4 linked regions of the Nothobranchius furzeri genome follow. The protein of the gene in region 1 purifies or fractionates together with the protein of each later gene. This does not show direct contact. Links are inferred from orthologs where the notes say so. Each region holds a gene or a part of one and is shown in the gene's direction. Other genes may lie near its edges.

Evidence for each region. The genes of interacting proteins can lie anywhere in the genome.
Region 2: the proteins of polr2f (region 1) and polr3k purify together in Homo sapiens (affinity purification with mass spectrometry; 5 studies listed by BioGRID and IntAct, with this or other methods). This does not show direct contact. The link is inferred for Nothobranchius furzeri from reciprocal best matches to the Homo sapiens genes POLR2F and POLR3K.
Region 3: the proteins of polr2f (region 1) and rpap2 purify together in Homo sapiens (affinity purification with mass spectrometry; 4 studies listed by BioGRID and IntAct, with this or other methods). This does not show direct contact. The link is inferred for Nothobranchius furzeri from reciprocal best matches to the Homo sapiens genes POLR2F and RPAP2.
Region 4: the proteins of polr2f (region 1) and polr3f purify together in Homo sapiens (affinity purification with mass spectrometry; 4 studies listed by BioGRID and IntAct, with this or other methods). This does not show direct contact. The link is inferred for Nothobranchius furzeri from reciprocal best matches to the Homo sapiens genes POLR2F and POLR3F.

What each region holds. Positions count from the first base shown.
Region 1 is NC_091752.1:66,414,096-66,417,804, reverse strand, and holds polr2f (DNA-directed RNA polymerases I, II, and III subunit RPABC2), read left to right. Parts: upstream 1-1,184; 5' UTR 1,185-1,320; coding exon 1,321-1,340; intron 1,341-1,596; coding exon 1,597-1,666; intron 1,667-1,754; coding exon 1,755-1,885; intron 1,886-2,683; coding exon 2,684-2,755; intron 2,756-2,849; coding exon 2,850-2,940; 3' UTR 2,941-3,209; downstream 3,210-3,709. UniProt on the Homo sapiens protein: DNA-dependent RNA polymerase catalyzes the transcription of DNA into RNA using the four ribonucleoside triphosphates as substrates.
Region 2 is NC_091745.1:3,876,687-3,879,948, reverse strand, and holds polr3k (DNA-directed RNA polymerase III subunit RPC10), read left to right. Parts: upstream 1-1,494; 5' UTR 1,495-1,637; coding exon 1,638-1,748; intron 1,749-1,859; coding exon 1,860-1,947; intron 1,948-2,364; coding exon 2,365-2,492; 3' UTR 2,493-2,762; downstream 2,763-3,262. Other genes in the region: snrnp25 (U11/U12 small nuclear ribonucleoprotein 25 kDa protein), read right to left, coding at 1-20, 947-1,168. UniProt on the Homo sapiens protein: Core component of RNA polymerase III (Pol III) which synthesizes small non-coding RNAs using the four ribonucleoside triphosphates as substrates. Can mediate Pol I proofreading of the nascent RNA transcript.
Region 3 is NC_091751.1:71,621,142-71,625,100, forward strand, and holds the start of rpap2 (putative RNA polymerase II subunit B1 CTD phosphatase rpap2), read left to right. Parts: upstream 1-1,159; 5' UTR 1,160-1,234; coding exon 1,235-1,292; exon of another isoform or gene 1,293-1,325; intron 1,326-3,959. Other genes in the region: glmna (glomulin, FKBP associated protein a), read right to left, coding at 926-964.
Region 4 is NC_091746.1:29,575,664-29,579,903, reverse strand, and holds the start of polr3f (DNA-directed RNA polymerase III subunit RPC6), read left to right. Parts: upstream 1-1,440; 5' UTR 1,441-1,576; intron 1,577-1,889; 5' UTR 1,890-2,038; coding exon 2,039-2,100; intron 2,101-2,509; coding exon 2,510-2,627; intron 2,628-2,705; coding exon 2,706-2,773; intron 2,774-2,848; coding exon 2,849-2,916; intron 2,917-2,996; coding exon 2,997-3,109; intron 3,110-3,289; coding exon 3,290-3,433; intron 3,434-4,240. Other genes in the region: dzank1 (double zinc ribbon and ankyrin repeat-containing protein 1), read right to left, coding at 201-258, 359-461, 550-697, 1,041-1,149. UniProt on the Homo sapiens protein: DNA-dependent RNA polymerase catalyzes the transcription of DNA into RNA using the four ribonucleoside triphosphates as substrates.

The sequences.
Region 1 (3,709 bases):
ACCGCAGCAATTTCCTAATGTTGTGACTTGGCACACATATGGCAATAAAACCTTCTGATTCTGATTCTAAAAAGCTGGTCCTTTGTATGTATGTATTTATTTATTTATTTATTTATTTATTTATTTATTTCACTTTGGTGGAAACCGGCCCTGTTAAATGAGGGAAATTGCAGTGTACCACAGTGACCATCAGGTGGCAGCCTTGTGGTGTGTCACCTTTTAAAATAGGCGCGTCATGAATGTTTGGGTGACGTTCTGACAGACACGTTAGCTCTACGTGAGATGATTTATGTTGTTTGTGCAGATAATAAGCTTAAGACCACGTTCGTTAGCCATGACATACAACCAAATAGAGGGCCAAAAGTACATAAAAAATTTATATCATTAATTGAATGTGTCATTAGTTGGTTGAAATATGAAATAATTATGTATATATGATTTTAATGAATGTGCTATAAATAAAAACATTTATTTGATGTAAAAATTACAGATAATCATTAAACTGTACAATTTTAGTAATTATTACATGGCGGAGCTGGCAGTGAAGTCGAAATGGTCCTCTCTCCAGGATCTCAGTCAGGTCCACCGGTAGAACCCCATGGAAATCCCTGGCCAGTAGACATGATGATTCCTCCAACATGTCCTGGATCGAGCTGGGGGCCTCCTACAGGCAAGACATGCCTGGAACACTTCTCCTGGGAAGCGACCGGAAGAATTCTCATTAATTCATCGCTGGATTCAGCCCCAGTCTTCTCTAGTCAATAAACAGGCCTTGGATTTGGAGGAGTCGGTGTGCATTTTAGGATTTAAAACAAAATAATTAAAAATTTTCATCCATGGCCCATTTAACAATTTATGTATGTAATGATTTATTCGTGAAATAATTTGGCATTAATTTGATTAATTGCACATATAAATAATATTTTTTTACGTGTCAAATTCCTTAAATCTTTAGCACTTGATTATAACAATTCATTAAAGAAAGTGAGGAGAGAGAGAGAATGGGGATTATTCAGCCTTTATTTAACCTACAGTTGGTAGAATTTACAGATCAAACTAAATGGAAAATGACTTAACTCCAGAAGGTGGCAGTGTTGCAACGGTAAACCTTGTTGATGCTTCTGAAACATCAAAAAAAAAAAAAAAAAAAAAAAAAGACAGACCGGAAAGGGAACTCTAACGAGGTTCTTTTGGCCGACCGGAATGTTTAGTAGCGTACCAGCCAGTGCAACGTTCATGTGGATTCGTGTTGGTTACAAAAGTGTAGCCTAGAAACGTTAAAATATTTTACACGGATATATACTACTCTAAAAATTTATCATGTCGGACAACGAAGACAAGTAAGTAAAGAAATCGTTTAAATAATCTGCGTCATTTTGTATAATCGACGTAAGCTAACGGGGATGCTAACTCGATTAGCATCACACGGTATTGTTTATTATGATCCTTGCCTATTCTGTGTATTGCTGCTTACGTCCTGTTTTATTCAGTCTCCCATCCAAGTTTACGTACTTTTGTACTTTTTCAATAAAGCTTGTTAAAAGTTATGAATCACCTAAAGTTTAAGATATCTGATCAAAGGTTTTAACTCCGTAGCTTCGATGATGGAGATTTTGATTATGCAGAGGAGGACGAAGGACTAGACGACCTGGAGAACGTCGAAGATGTGAGTTATTACAGAGACGGATCACCACTTGAGACTTTTATGAAGCTGTCTCCTGGTCTGAGCTTGTTTGTTTTGCTCTGGTGAATAGGAGGATCAGGAGAATGTGCAGATCCTACCTGCAGGAGAAGGCCAGCAGGCCAACCAGAAGAGGATCACCACACCGTATATGACGAAATACGAGCGGGCCAGAGTGCTAGGGACCAGAGCCTTGCAGATAGCGTGAGTGTGTTTACATGAGATCACGGTTAAAGCTGAGTGTGTTTGATCTTTAACTCGTTAAACACATTTTCACTGAGAGTAGGTTTCCTCCCTAAACTTAGTATTTAGAGATGTTCAGTGAAATTAGCTGGGCTCATTTCGGGATTTATGTCAGTAAAAGTTTCGTTTTTCCAAAAGACATTTAACCCTCCCATTGTCCTGATGGGTGTGACCCCGCGAGGAAAGTTGACCATTGAGCAGGGATGATGGTTTATCCCTTGGGTCCATGTGGCAGGGGTGAGAAGTGAGCACCACCTCACCCCTGCCATGTAGACATCAAGGGATAAACCATCCATCCTGCTCAGTGGTCAACTTTCCTGGCGGGGTCACCCATGAAGACAGTGGGAGGGTTAAGTAAAAACTTAAATATGCTAAATAGCGCATTAACACCTAGTATCAACAGAAGGTTATTTAGGTAAATCAGTAAAATCAACTCCTGATTCTGTTTTTGTCTTGAGTTTGGGCTCTCTGAATTCCCACCAGCAGAAATTCCTGGAAACAGGCGGCTGCTTGTGTAAATGCCTCATCTGCTTTCAAAATAAAAGCATGCCAAAGCCCATTTTAAAGCTAAAAGTAGCGTTTGAATCTACATGCAGAATTATTTGTATTTAATTTCCAATGCTGGCTGGATGGCTGCAACTAATGAGTCACTTTTTTCCCAGCTTTAGAGAAATTAGCCCACTATAAACCCCATATTCCCATGTTGCATCAGTCTGCCTGAATAAAAGTGTTTTTCCTGTGCTGGCTTGATTCCAACAGGATGTGTGCTCCTGTCATGGTGGAGCTGGAGGGAGAGACTGACCCTCTGCAGATCGCTATGAAAGAACTTAAGTAAGTCACTTTGACAAGCACCAACTTTTGGCTTTGGTTTTATTTAACGAACAACTTTTTACTTCACTCATCTTTTCTTCTCTTTCTCCAAAAGGGGCAGAAAGATCCCCATCATCATCCGCAGGTACCTTCCTGATGGGAGTTACGAGGACTGGGGCTGTGATGAGCTCATCATAACTGATTAAACATCCTAACCAGCATCACACATCATCATCTCTGGACTTTTAGAGACTCACTAACTTTTACAGAGTTGTACGTTTGCCTGCTGGGATCCGTTTATGAATATGTTGTTTTAATTTCTTTTCACCATTTTAACATCTACTTGAGGAGGAGAGACGAGAACCTTTAGTTAAATACTTTTTATGCATCCGTGAGGAGTCTAAACGGCTTGTTTTGTTTTTCGGAAGAGACGGTGTAAATGAATGTTTTATTGTTAATAAAGTCATTTCTAGAAGCTGCTGTGATGGATTTATGTACAAATCTCTGGTTTAAAACAGAAATGTGTTGCTGCGGTTGTTTCATTTAGAAAATTAAATGTCACCCCTTCTTTCCACAGGAGCCGTCAGCAGCGCGTCATAGCTGCTGATAGGAACCGCTGTGGTCAACAGAACCTTTTCCACCGGAGCCGTCAGCAGCGCGAGTCGGCCGCTTCTCAGGAGCAGCATGTCGCGGCCTTTACGCGCCGGTTCTATTTTCTACACGCGACGCCTCTGAAACGGGTCAAGTTCGACATTTTTGGGGAAGGAAAGACAGGAAATCGGACGCGGAAATGGAGAGAAGCTCCCGAGATTTTCAGAATAAAGAACGTACTGCCTTCCGGTTGCTTTACTTTTAAAAAAAGTTACTAACTGTGCGGCCCCGTGAGAAGTTATCACCTAGCTAGCGGTCTCCTTTGTTTTTCAGGTCCGTATTGGCGATTCTAAAATGGACAGAACATAAAACACAAACCTTTTG
Region 2 (3,262 bases), on another chromosome or scaffold:
TTTACTTCTTCCAGTGTGACCTGATGGTACAGAAAAAAAAAACATTAAAATTGACGCCACCGATTACCATTTCTCTGCACACATCAGACCATCATCATCTAGAAAAGCTCACAACCCTGAGAGGACTTGCTGTTAGATTATGAAGATTTATTGCTGGTCTTAAATTTGGAAATACTTTGACAAGTTGAGCAAAATACAGTGAAATATTTTGAATATACTTTATTGACCTAACAAAATGCACAAGGTAGACGTGAGCTAATACTTCTACTGCTGTCCTCTTGTGTAACCAATATTAGGACAGAGTACAAATCACACAGCTTTAACATACAAGCAAGAAGAGACATCAGCAAGGACTTTGGGGAGATAATTTTGTCTTTGCTCTAATAAAAACTGTAATATGCAGTGATCTGCTGTTTTTACTCCATTGGAAGCTTGCAAATTGATTCATAAACACTTTGTAGTGCAAATGGGATCCATTTGAGTTTTAATAGGTATCTAAATAGACTGTTTGGAAATTGCAGGTGAGGTGTGTGTCCAAACTTTTGACTAAAGTAACAAAAGCTGCACAATGTATCACAAAACATCATCACTGTGACTGCTTCAGTGGCACACAAAAACAGCTTGATTCACAGTAGATGGGGACATGTTCATGTGACTGAATCTCCTTAATGCTATTGCTGAAAACACACCAGTGGTGAGTGATGTGTGGTAACAGAGTGAGGAAAATGAGGATTTAGCACAACTGTTATCGTCATCGCAATACCCAACGATATTGTAACAGTGTGATTTACTAAATCCTACAAAAGTATAATCCTGGCCCAAATATCTTCTACAATCGTCATTGGACTTTAAAAATAAAATAGACCAGCTCCAATGAGTGAATCTCAAATAAAGGTGACAACACACGTTTTCCTTCAGAGTAACTGAGGGCACTCAGAAATAACACCTGGATTGGCAGGTCGCAGAGTAAAGGGTCCTGCACAAGTCGAGCAAGTCCTTCTTCAAAAATATCCAGGATCTCAGAGTGAGGGAGAGAATCTTCATCGTCCTCCTCCTCAGCAGCTGCCTCGTTTAGGAAGCTCTCCTTTTTCACCTCCTCATCCTGCACTAGTTGCGCTCCTTCACCTCCTTTGACTACAGCAGAACCTGGACTCTGCTCCTCCTCCATCCGATAATCATCCAGCTATTGGGTACCTTCCGGGTTTCCTGCTAGAAAACGTCGTCTGGATACAATTTACCTGGACAACAATTACAGGTTTACTTCAAAACTGCTGCTAAAAAAGAAGAATTAGAACAGCAAAAGCCCGTATGTAACTGTGTGCAGTACAAACAAACTACCGGAACGGAAATGGACCTTATGTAAAAGGTTCCACTTGATGAAAATAAAAATGAACAGCTGCGTTAACATTTGATAAATACGTATTCTTATCATAAATTAATAACATTCATTTTAATATAGAATTGTTTACATACAATTAGGCATGTTGTTTAAACGATTAGCGACTTCCGGTTGTTTCCGTTCGAGCTGTTTTCATCAGTCGACTTCCGGTTTTCTCTACGCAGCAGATGGTTTCTGGTGAAATCACATTTAGATTCCATTTAGTTGATGGTTTGCGACCAAATTGATTACATTTAAAATGCTACTCTTTTGCCCTACCTGTGGAAACGTTTTGATCGTAGAAGAAGGACAGAAGTGTATGAGGTTCGCGTGTAACACCTGTCCTTACATACACAACATCACAAGAAAGGTAGGAGTCACCCGTAACTAAACCAGGTTTCATCATCTAGTTGGTGTCAGAAACACAAAATATTTGTCGTTAGGTTTGTAAGTTTAAGGTCTTGTTTTATTTCTCTTGAAGGTAAACAACCGAAAGTATCCCAAATTAAAGGAGGTGGATGATGTTCTCGGTGGGGCTGCTGCGTGGGAGAACGTGGATTCAACTGCAGGTAAATAACATTAAAATGACTTCCTGGAGTCTGCATACAAATGTTTAGCATATTCTTTAGTTTTAGTTAAGTAATTAAAGTGTTTTAACGCCTAAAATGAGAAAAGTGTACTTCCAATTTTCAATTATACAAACGGATTAATCCAGGATTTTCAGTTTTTCTTTTTGTTCAAGCCAAACCATTCAACAATCCTGATATCCTGTATCTTTATTTAGGTCATAGTAGAATTGGCTAGATGCTTAATAAACTATTATTTATCTCCTTAAAACAATTCATGATCCTTAAACAGGATTAGTGATTTCTTAAGATTAACATTCTTAAACTAAAACCTGGACATACCAGAGGTATTTGGGGTATAAGATGGTACATACCGGTGTGGCCTCTAAGCTGACATATTCCTTCTCTATCTCTGTACAGAAAAATGTCCCAAGTGTGAGCATCCTCGGGCGTATTTCATGCAGATTCAGACCAGATCTGCTGATGAACCCATGACAACTTTCTACAAATGCTGTAATGCCCAGTGTGGACATCGATGGAGAGACTGAAAGTTTTCTACTTGTAGTTATTTCAAATGTTCAGATGATTTCTGGCCTGGTTTTCCTTTTCTTCTGTATTTATTTGCACCATTTACTTTCCAGTTGTGATAAATGTTCCACATGACAAAGTGTTTACTTCATGATTTTTATTGGTAAAATAGCGCCTGTGTACAGTCACATAAATTGCGTACATAGTTGTACATCAGACATCTGGAGCGATGCAGACCAGCAGTTTTCACAACATGACTAAAGTTCCATTACAATCCTTCACAAAATGTGTTTTTTTGTTTTATATTTTGCACAGATTTTTCAGTCTTGAGGAAAAAAATATGCACAGAGTCGGAGCACATCAATGATTATTACTAAAGGTATAGCCCAGGCAAACTGCGAGAAGCATTAGTGGCTGATGTATCCCACATGCTGAGATGATTCACTGTTAGTGTTCAGAATCACTTTTGCAAAAGGTCTAATTCAACAACTTCATGAAGCTCATTAAAATCTCACTAATCAAATGTATTTCATTTCATCTAAGCGAAGAACCTTCATTTAGGTGAATCCTTAATGGCTTAGTACTCAGTTTTTAAAACCTCTTAAGATCAGCTAAATCTGAAATGGTGCTGCATGAGCCTGACAGAAAAACACACACCAAGATGTCATGCTTTCGTTTTTAAGTGATTAGCTTGTCTATCGCCTTCAGTACACTTGTGGACCATTCCCATCTGTACCGGGTCGGCCCGGGCCGGGTAGCGTAGGTTGTTTACATATCTGGGTGGCCTGGT
Region 3 (3,959 bases), on another chromosome or scaffold:
GAAGGGTTTGATCTGAGGGCCAAGGCGCCAACCCTAACCCGACGGAACAAAGCAAAACACACGTGGGCCAGAACATAGAACTCACAGGATCTGAAAACCTCAGCAAAGGTAACCTTCTGGTGCTCTGGTCCATGACCTCCAGCATGCACCTGAGCGCTTCGGCGCTGAGTGACGCAGAGAAAAAGGGAGGGCCGTCTTTGTCTGAGGTGGAGGAGCTCAAACCACCTGTGTCTTGTTCCTGAGTGATGGTAGCACGCTGGAGACTGGAGTAGAACCAGCAACGCTACAGATCTCCCTCATCTCGCCCGATTCGGGTGTCGTCGCTTGGTTGCTGTTGTTTGGTAACTTGTATCTCAGATTTTGGTTTGTGTCACTGAACGCTGCACTGGGGCTCCCTGGGCCATTTAGCACAGCGATACTAAAGCTGCACATAGCCATGACTGAGAGCATCCTATCACCCAGCATGACGGTGTGGTATGGCAGCTGCATCGTCCAGAACAAAAAAGACCTGGCCAGGGTGGTGAAAACTGCTCAGTGGATCGTGGGGGGCCCACTACCAGATCTGGACTCTGGAGTATATACCATCCGACTACAAAGGAAGGCTAACCGTATCGCTGCTGATCCCTTCCATCCAGGTCACAAACTGTTGATGCCGCCACCATCGAGGAAGCGGTACAGGAATATCAAGGCCACAACCACCAGGCTGAGGAACAGCTTCTTCCCTAGAGCTGTTAAAGCCACGTGGTGGTGGTGAGGGACAATCTGAACATCAGTGGACAGGTAGGTGGACACACCAGACTCCACTGCCCTGCGTAGCTCGCGCCACTAAGTCACGAGTCAGATGGGTGGAGGGACAGAAACAGCCTCTGGGGCTTTGAGACGCCGGTGTGCAGCAGGAGGGATGACAGGACAACATGAGACTCACACATCTCTGGACCACATCACTGAGCTGCTCCAGAGCCATCGCTGCTGTCCTCGGATCAGCCGGAAACAGAGAGGCACTTCCGTTTGAAACAAGCTAGGTCCGCGCGAGGCCACCGCGAGCCGGAGCTTCAGTCGGAGACGCGAACAGAGCGGGAAGCTTCTGGAATCACAGCAGATAAAAACATCACACAAACCTTTCCTTCATGACCCAAACAAACCACATTTACATCTCCGATGCAGCGCGCCTTCCGGTTTGACCCCCTCAGCTACCGTAGAAACGTCACAGGTCAAAGGTGAACACAGAAGAAACATGGAGCTGGTGGAGAGCAGGAGGAGGAGAGGAGGCTCCACTAAAACCTCCAGGAAAGGTTGGTTTTTAATCCCAATCCAGAGTTTACCGGAAACAGGACAACGTTTTCACCCTCGTTACGTCCGTTCCGTGTTGATTTTCCGGTCCGGTTCGACCCAGCAGTGGAGCTTGTTCCCGTTCCGCTTTCAGCGGGAAGGTGGAACAGACTCGTTCTCTGTAGAAAAGAACCGAAACAAACCTGTCGCGGATCAGAGCTGCTCCTTCTGTAGTTCATCACCAGGTCCTTCTATAGTTCATCACCAGGTCCTTCTGTAGTTCATCACCCGGTCCTTCTGTAGTTCATCACCCGGTCCTTCTGTAGTTCATCACCCGGTCCTTCTGTAGTTCATCACCAGGTCCTTCTGTAGTTCATCACCAGGTCCAGGTCCTTCTGTAGTTCATCACCACGTCCAGGTCCTTCTGTAGTTCATCACCAGGTCCAGGTCCTTCTGTAGTTCATCACCAGGTCCAGGTCCTTCAGTAGTTCATCACCAGGTCCTTCTGTAGTTCATCACCAGGTCCTTCTGTAGTTCATCACCTGGTCCTTCTGTAGTTCATCACCTGGTCCTTCTGTAGTTCATCACCAGGTCCTTCTGTAGTTCATCACCCGGTCCTTCTGTAGTTCATCACCAGGTCCTTCTGTAGTTCATCACCAGGTCCTTCTGTAGTTCATCACCAGGTCCAGGTCCTTCTGTAGTTCATCACCAGGTCCTTCTGTAGTTCATCACCAGGTCCTTCTGTAGTTCATCACCAGGTCCTTCTGTAGTTCATCACCAGGTCCTTCTGTAGTTCATCACCAGGTCCAGGTCCTTCTGTAGTTCATCACCAGGTCCTTCTGTAGTTCATCACCAGGTCCTTCTGTAGTTCATCACCCGGTCCTTCTGTAGTTCATCACCCGGTCCTTCTGTAGTTCATCACCAGGTCCTTCTGTAGTTCCTCACCCAGTTCTTCTGTAGTTCATCACCAGGTCCAGGTCCTTCTGTAGTTCATCACCAGGTCCAGGTCCTTCTGTAGTTCATCACCAGGTCCTTCTGTAGTTCATCACCAGGTCCTTCTGTAGTTCATCACCTGGTCCTTCTGTAGTTCATCACCTGGTCCTTCTGTAGTTCATCACCAGGTCCTTCTGTAGTTCATCACCCGGTCCTTCTGTAGTTCATCACCAGGTCCTTCTGTAGTTCATCACCAGGTCCTTCTGTAGTTCATCACCAGGTCCAGGTCCTTCTGTAGTTCATCACCAGGTCCTTCTGTAGTTCATCACCAGGTCCTTTTGTAGTTCATCACCTGGTCCTTCTGTAGTTCATCACCAGGTCCTTCTGTAGTTCATCACCCGGTCCTTCTGTAGTTCATCACCAGGTCCTTCTGTAGTTCATCACCAGGTCCAGGTCCTTCTGTAGTTCATCACCAGGTCCTTCTGTAGTTCATCACCCGGTCCTTCTGTAGTTCATCACCAGGTCCTTCTGTAGTTCATCATCAGGTCATTCTGTAGTTCATCACCTGGTCCTTCTGTAGTTCATCACCAGGTCCTTCTGTAGTTCATCACCTGGTCCTTCTGTAGTTCATCACCAGGTCCAGGTCCTTCTGTAGTTCATCACCTGGTCCTTCTGTAGTTCATCACCAGGTCCAGGTCCTTCTGTAGTTCATCACCAGGTCCAGGTCCTTCTGTAGTTCATCACCAGGTCCAGGTCCTTCTGTAGTTCATCACCCGGTCCTTCTGTAGTTCATCACCCGGTCCTTCTGTAGTTCATCACCAGGTCCTTCTGTAGTTCATCACCCGGTCCTTCTGTAGTTCATCACCAGGTCCAGGTCCTTCTGTAGTTCATCACCAGGTCCAGGTCCTTCTGTAGTTCATCACCAGGTCCTTCTGTAGTTCATCACCAGGTCCTTCTGTAGTTCATCACCTGGTCCTTCTGTAGTTCATCACCTGGTCCTTCTGTAGTTCATCACCAGGTCCAGGTCCTTCTGTAGTTCATCACCTGGTCCTTCTGTAGTTCATCACCTGGTCCTTCTGTAGTTCATCACCAGGTCCTTCTGTAGTTCATCACCTGGTCCTTCTGTAGTTCATCACCAGGTCCTTCTGTAGTTCATCACCTGGTCCTTCTGTAGTTCATCACCAGGTCCAGGTCCTTCTGTAGTTCATCACCTGGTCCTTCTGTAGTTCATCACCCGGTCCTTCTGTAGTTCATCACCCGGTCCTTCTGTAGTTCATCACCCGGTCCTTCTGTAGTTCATCACCAGGTCCTTCTGTAGTTCATCACCCGGTCCTTCTGTAGTTCATCACCAGGTCCAGGTCCTTCTGTAGTTCATCACCTGGTCCTTCTGTAGTTCATCACCAGGTCCAGGTCCTTCTGTAGTTCATCACCAGGTCCAGGTCCTTCTGTAGTTCATCACCAGGTCCAGGTCCTTCTGTAGTTCATCACCCGGTCCTTCTGTAGTTCATCACCCGGTCCTTCTGTAGTTCATCACCAGGTCCTTCTGTAGTTCATCACCCGGTCCTTCTGTAGTTCATCACCAGGTCCAGGTCCTTCTGTAGTTCATCACCAGGTCCAGGTCCTTCTGTAGTTCATCACCAGGTCCTTCTGTAGTTCATCACCAGGTCCTTCTGTAGTTCATCACCTGGTCCTTCTGTAGTTCATCACCTGGTCCTTCTGTAGTTCATCACCAGGTCCAGGTCCTTCTGTAGTTCATC
Region 4 (4,240 bases), on another chromosome or scaffold:
GAAGGTGTGTCCAAAGCTTTGGCCTGTACCGTAGGTGTGAGTGAGCGTGTGGCTGGGTATCTGTCTCCGTGTGTCCCCAAGACTCCACTCAGATGCAAGAAGTTCAGAAAATGAATGAATAATAAATTAGACTAGGATGGATGGATGGATTAAACCTGGTTTGGGTGCAGGTGTGTACTAGTGGACCTTTTCGTACTTACCTACAGATCTTTGTGGAGAACCAAGTGATTTCTCAGCAGAATCACAAGTTCCATCAGGCTGAAGTAACAGAACAATGAAGGAATGAGCAAGGGCAGATAGTTTCATACAAATAGAGGACGGGTTTATGGAATATGCAGAGCAGCGGGTGAGTGTTTACCTTCAAGTGGTTCTGCAGACTATTCTGGTTCTCCACAGTGCTGCCTGAATCCAGTTGAACCACTGAGAAGACCTTGGTCACCACAGAGCTCTGTCTGCCATCACTGTATCAAACACAGTTATGGTCTGATAAACAGGAAGTGATGCAGTGCTACTTTTATTCCTGTCACTCGTTATCAGGTGAGTGTTTACCTGGTGACAGCCACAGCTTTGACAGACACCCGACCAGCAGGTAGCAGGATGGGCTCTGTGTACTTCCTGCTGCTGCCAGCTGCCCCTCTCTGCCCCAGCTCTGGCTTCGACCCATCCAACGTATAGAAGATCAGCACACCTGCAGAGTCTGCACGCACAAACTGTTGTTTAGATCAGCGCTGCAAGGTGGCAAATTTAGCAGAAACCCCGATCAGCCTCGTCGCAAGACAATAATTCAACCACAAAGTATCTTCAGTCAGAAGTTTCTTCAGATCTGCTGCAACACAGAAGATCCGTCCTGTATCCAGCTAGAACCGGATAGAGCTTGCTAGAAAAAGCTGGAACCAGCTAGATCCATGCTGTGTGTGTGTGTTGTGAAATTAACAAAAGAATATGAATGGATGGATAGATAGATGAATGGAGGACAGAAGTGTGTGGTGTGTGTGTGTGTGTGTGTGTGTGTGTGTGGGGGGGGGGGGGGGGGGGGGTACCTGACTGGATGGAGACAGGTGTTGTGGTATCGATGTGCTTCTTGGCTCGATGAGTTGGCAGGTAGATGATGGGAATGATAAGTGGAGGTAAAACAGCTCCTGCTGCCATGGTAACGGATATCAACAAATCAGGAGATCAGGGTTTCTTCTTCTTCAGTTAAAGCAGAAAAGAAAACTTGAGTTTTTTGAGTCCTTGTTTTAAAAGTGCTGCTCACAAACGTCCAGCTAGACCGTCACAACTCACTGAGACGTGATGATATCTGAAAAAACAGGATAGCAATCTAATGTACTAAATAAGAGGTTATAACGTCTCAACACTGATATTAATCAGCTGTCAGCCATTAGACAGCGCCCTCCGCTGGCTACCGGTTTACCGCTCCCGTACCGCACAGTTCTTGTTGTGTAGCGGAACCGTTTTTACGGTTATGAGCTCAAGAATACAGACGCATCGAGCTGGCTGGGAGATGAGACACTTCTGAGAACTGCAGCGTTTATACAACGTCACCATGGCAACAGAGTCTGTCTGAGACGAACGAGTAAGCACAAGTGCCTGCCCCTCGGGGCTGCCGCGAAACTTTCTACAAGTTCACTCTTTAGAAGTTCCTAGAAATGACAGGACTAGCATCTCATGAATGTTTAGAGAAATTTTCTCCGCTTGGATTTATTTGAATGTAGGCACTGGTGTTTCAGTAACTCGTTTTATTTAAATTGTAAAAATAATATAAAAAGTGGGTTCAATTGAAAAACATTAAAAAATGAGAAGTAATTTTGAGGATTAAAATAAGATTTTTTTTGTCTTTCACTTAACCGCTCAACTGAATCTCAATTAATTTATTTTTGAACGGGCAGTTTTCCGGACACCTACCGCTGGGTAAACATCTGTAAGGACCCCTCCAGGGCAATCTTGATACCGCCTGCTCTGAGATTGATTGTGGCGGACCAGAATCACCGCCTTAACGGAGCCGCTGCTCGGACACGAGCCACACGACCGGTTCAGAATGGCGGAGGTGAAGGTGAAGAAGGAGATGAACCAGACGGAACCCGCGGAGGTGGAGAGCAGGTTGGAACGGACCGGATTCTGTGTCCATTCGGTCGATTTGAACGTTTCTCATCCACAATCTCTCACATATCGGTGACAAGTTGAGTTTGGACCCGTTTTCGGGACGGGAACAGGCTCACTCAGACTTCGGCATTCACTTCACTCGTTTATTTGTCAAAAGAAAGTCCCAAAGTAGACTTCATGTCTTCAACGTGGCTGCCAGATTTGCACCATCGTTCTGTTACACCTGTTTGCTGTCTTGCACACGGACAGAGGCATTGCTTTCATACATGTTAAATAAAACATAAGTTTGTTGCAAATAAGAGGAGAATTGGAGGCAGCTGATTGAAGCGAAAACTGCTTTAAAAACAAAAGTTAATCATACGTGAAAAGACGTTCTGATGTGTTTAAACTTGTTTCTGTGACCCAGGATCAAAGATCTGTGTCAGCAGTTTCCTCAAGGTATCACAGACCAGGTGATCCAGAACGACATGCCTCACCTGGAGCCTCAGCAGAGAGCCATGGCCATTAACAAGCTGCTGGCCCTGGTGGGTTCGAGGACCTGACCCATGTCGGTCTCTGTGATGCTGATGGATGATCTGAACTGGTGTTCTATTCTATTATAGGGTCACCTGGACCTTCTCAGGAACAGTTCAGGTCTCCTGTACAGACTAAAGGACTCTCAGATGTCCAGGTAAGACCTGAGATCTGCTCGCTGGCCCCTGTGTGGTTTGGTTCTGCCTCTCTGAAACGCCTTTCTGTGCTTCAGTAAGATGAAAGGCTCAGACAGCCAGGAGAAGCTGGTCTATCAGGTGATTGAAGATGCAGGAAACAAAGGTACCAACCTATTTATGTCTAGAAACATGCAGCTCACCACTAACGGATTAGAACATCACGGCTGTGTAATGTGGCTGCAGGAATCTGGAGCAGAGACATCCGCTTTAAGAGCAACCTCCCTCTGACCGAGATCAACAAGATCCTGAAGAACCTCGAGAGCAAAAAACTCATAAAAGCTGTCAAGTCTGTGGCGGTGAGTGCTGTCGGAACAAAAACGTAGCCGGTTCATAAACCAGAGCATTGCTTTCTAACTAGTGATCAAAGTGTGTGTGTGTGTGTGTGTGTGTGTGTGTGTGTGTGTGTGTGTGTGTGTGTGTGTGTGTGTGTGTGTGTGTGTGTGTGTGTGTGTGTGTGTGTGTGTGTGTGTGTGTAGGCATCAAAGAAGAAGGTTTACATGCTGTACAACCTGCAGCCAGACCGCTCAGTAACAGGTGGGGCCTGGTACAGTGACCAGGACTTTGAGTCAGAGTTTGTGGAAGTTCTGAACCAGCAGTGCTTCAAATTCCTCCAGAGCAAGGTACACACACACACACACACACACACACACACACACACACACGCGTGCACTAAAACAGCAGAGGAGCACAAAAATGGGTGTTCACCTCAGCAACAGCCTGAACTTGTCCACAAATATGGATGACTTCTGCAGTGGAAATCATCCAATGTGGGTTTTTCTGTTGCCAACATCTTGATTTTAATTTTTTTCCCACCTGCCTGCTAAAGCGCAGCTGATGCTCAACATTCCTGACCCTGTTGAGTCTTATTTTTGTACTAAACTGCAATAAAATCAAATATTTAATCAAAGTTATTCAAACAAGTCACCAAATTAATTAGGAATTAAATAAGGAAAACAGGTGAATAAAAAATGTTAGTTACATTAATGTTTTAGAGGATTTATTTAGCAGATTTAAATTAAATAAATTCAAATTTGGAGTAAAAATACAAAAGAGCTGAAAACACAAAAGCAACATCTAAAATGCATCCTGTCTTTTGTTTTTGATTTTTACCAATAATTCTTAAAGAGCAAGTCACCCCCAAATCAGCTTTATTTGCTGATAAACTATATAAATGCATGCCTAATCGTGCTGCAGACACGTGTAGTCAATAGTTTTGCACTTTAGTGCATTTTAGTTCAAATTTAAATTTTCTGCCTAAAACTGTCAGTGTAGTACCGTTGTCAGGTAAAAACTCTTCACTGCATTTGAATTTAAACCTGCCATCGCTATTGGCTAAGAGGTACCCTCAGCTGGTACTAGTGATGGAAGTTCCAGCTCTTTTTAGAGAGCCGGTTCTTTTGGCTCAGCTCACCAAAAAGAGCCGGCTC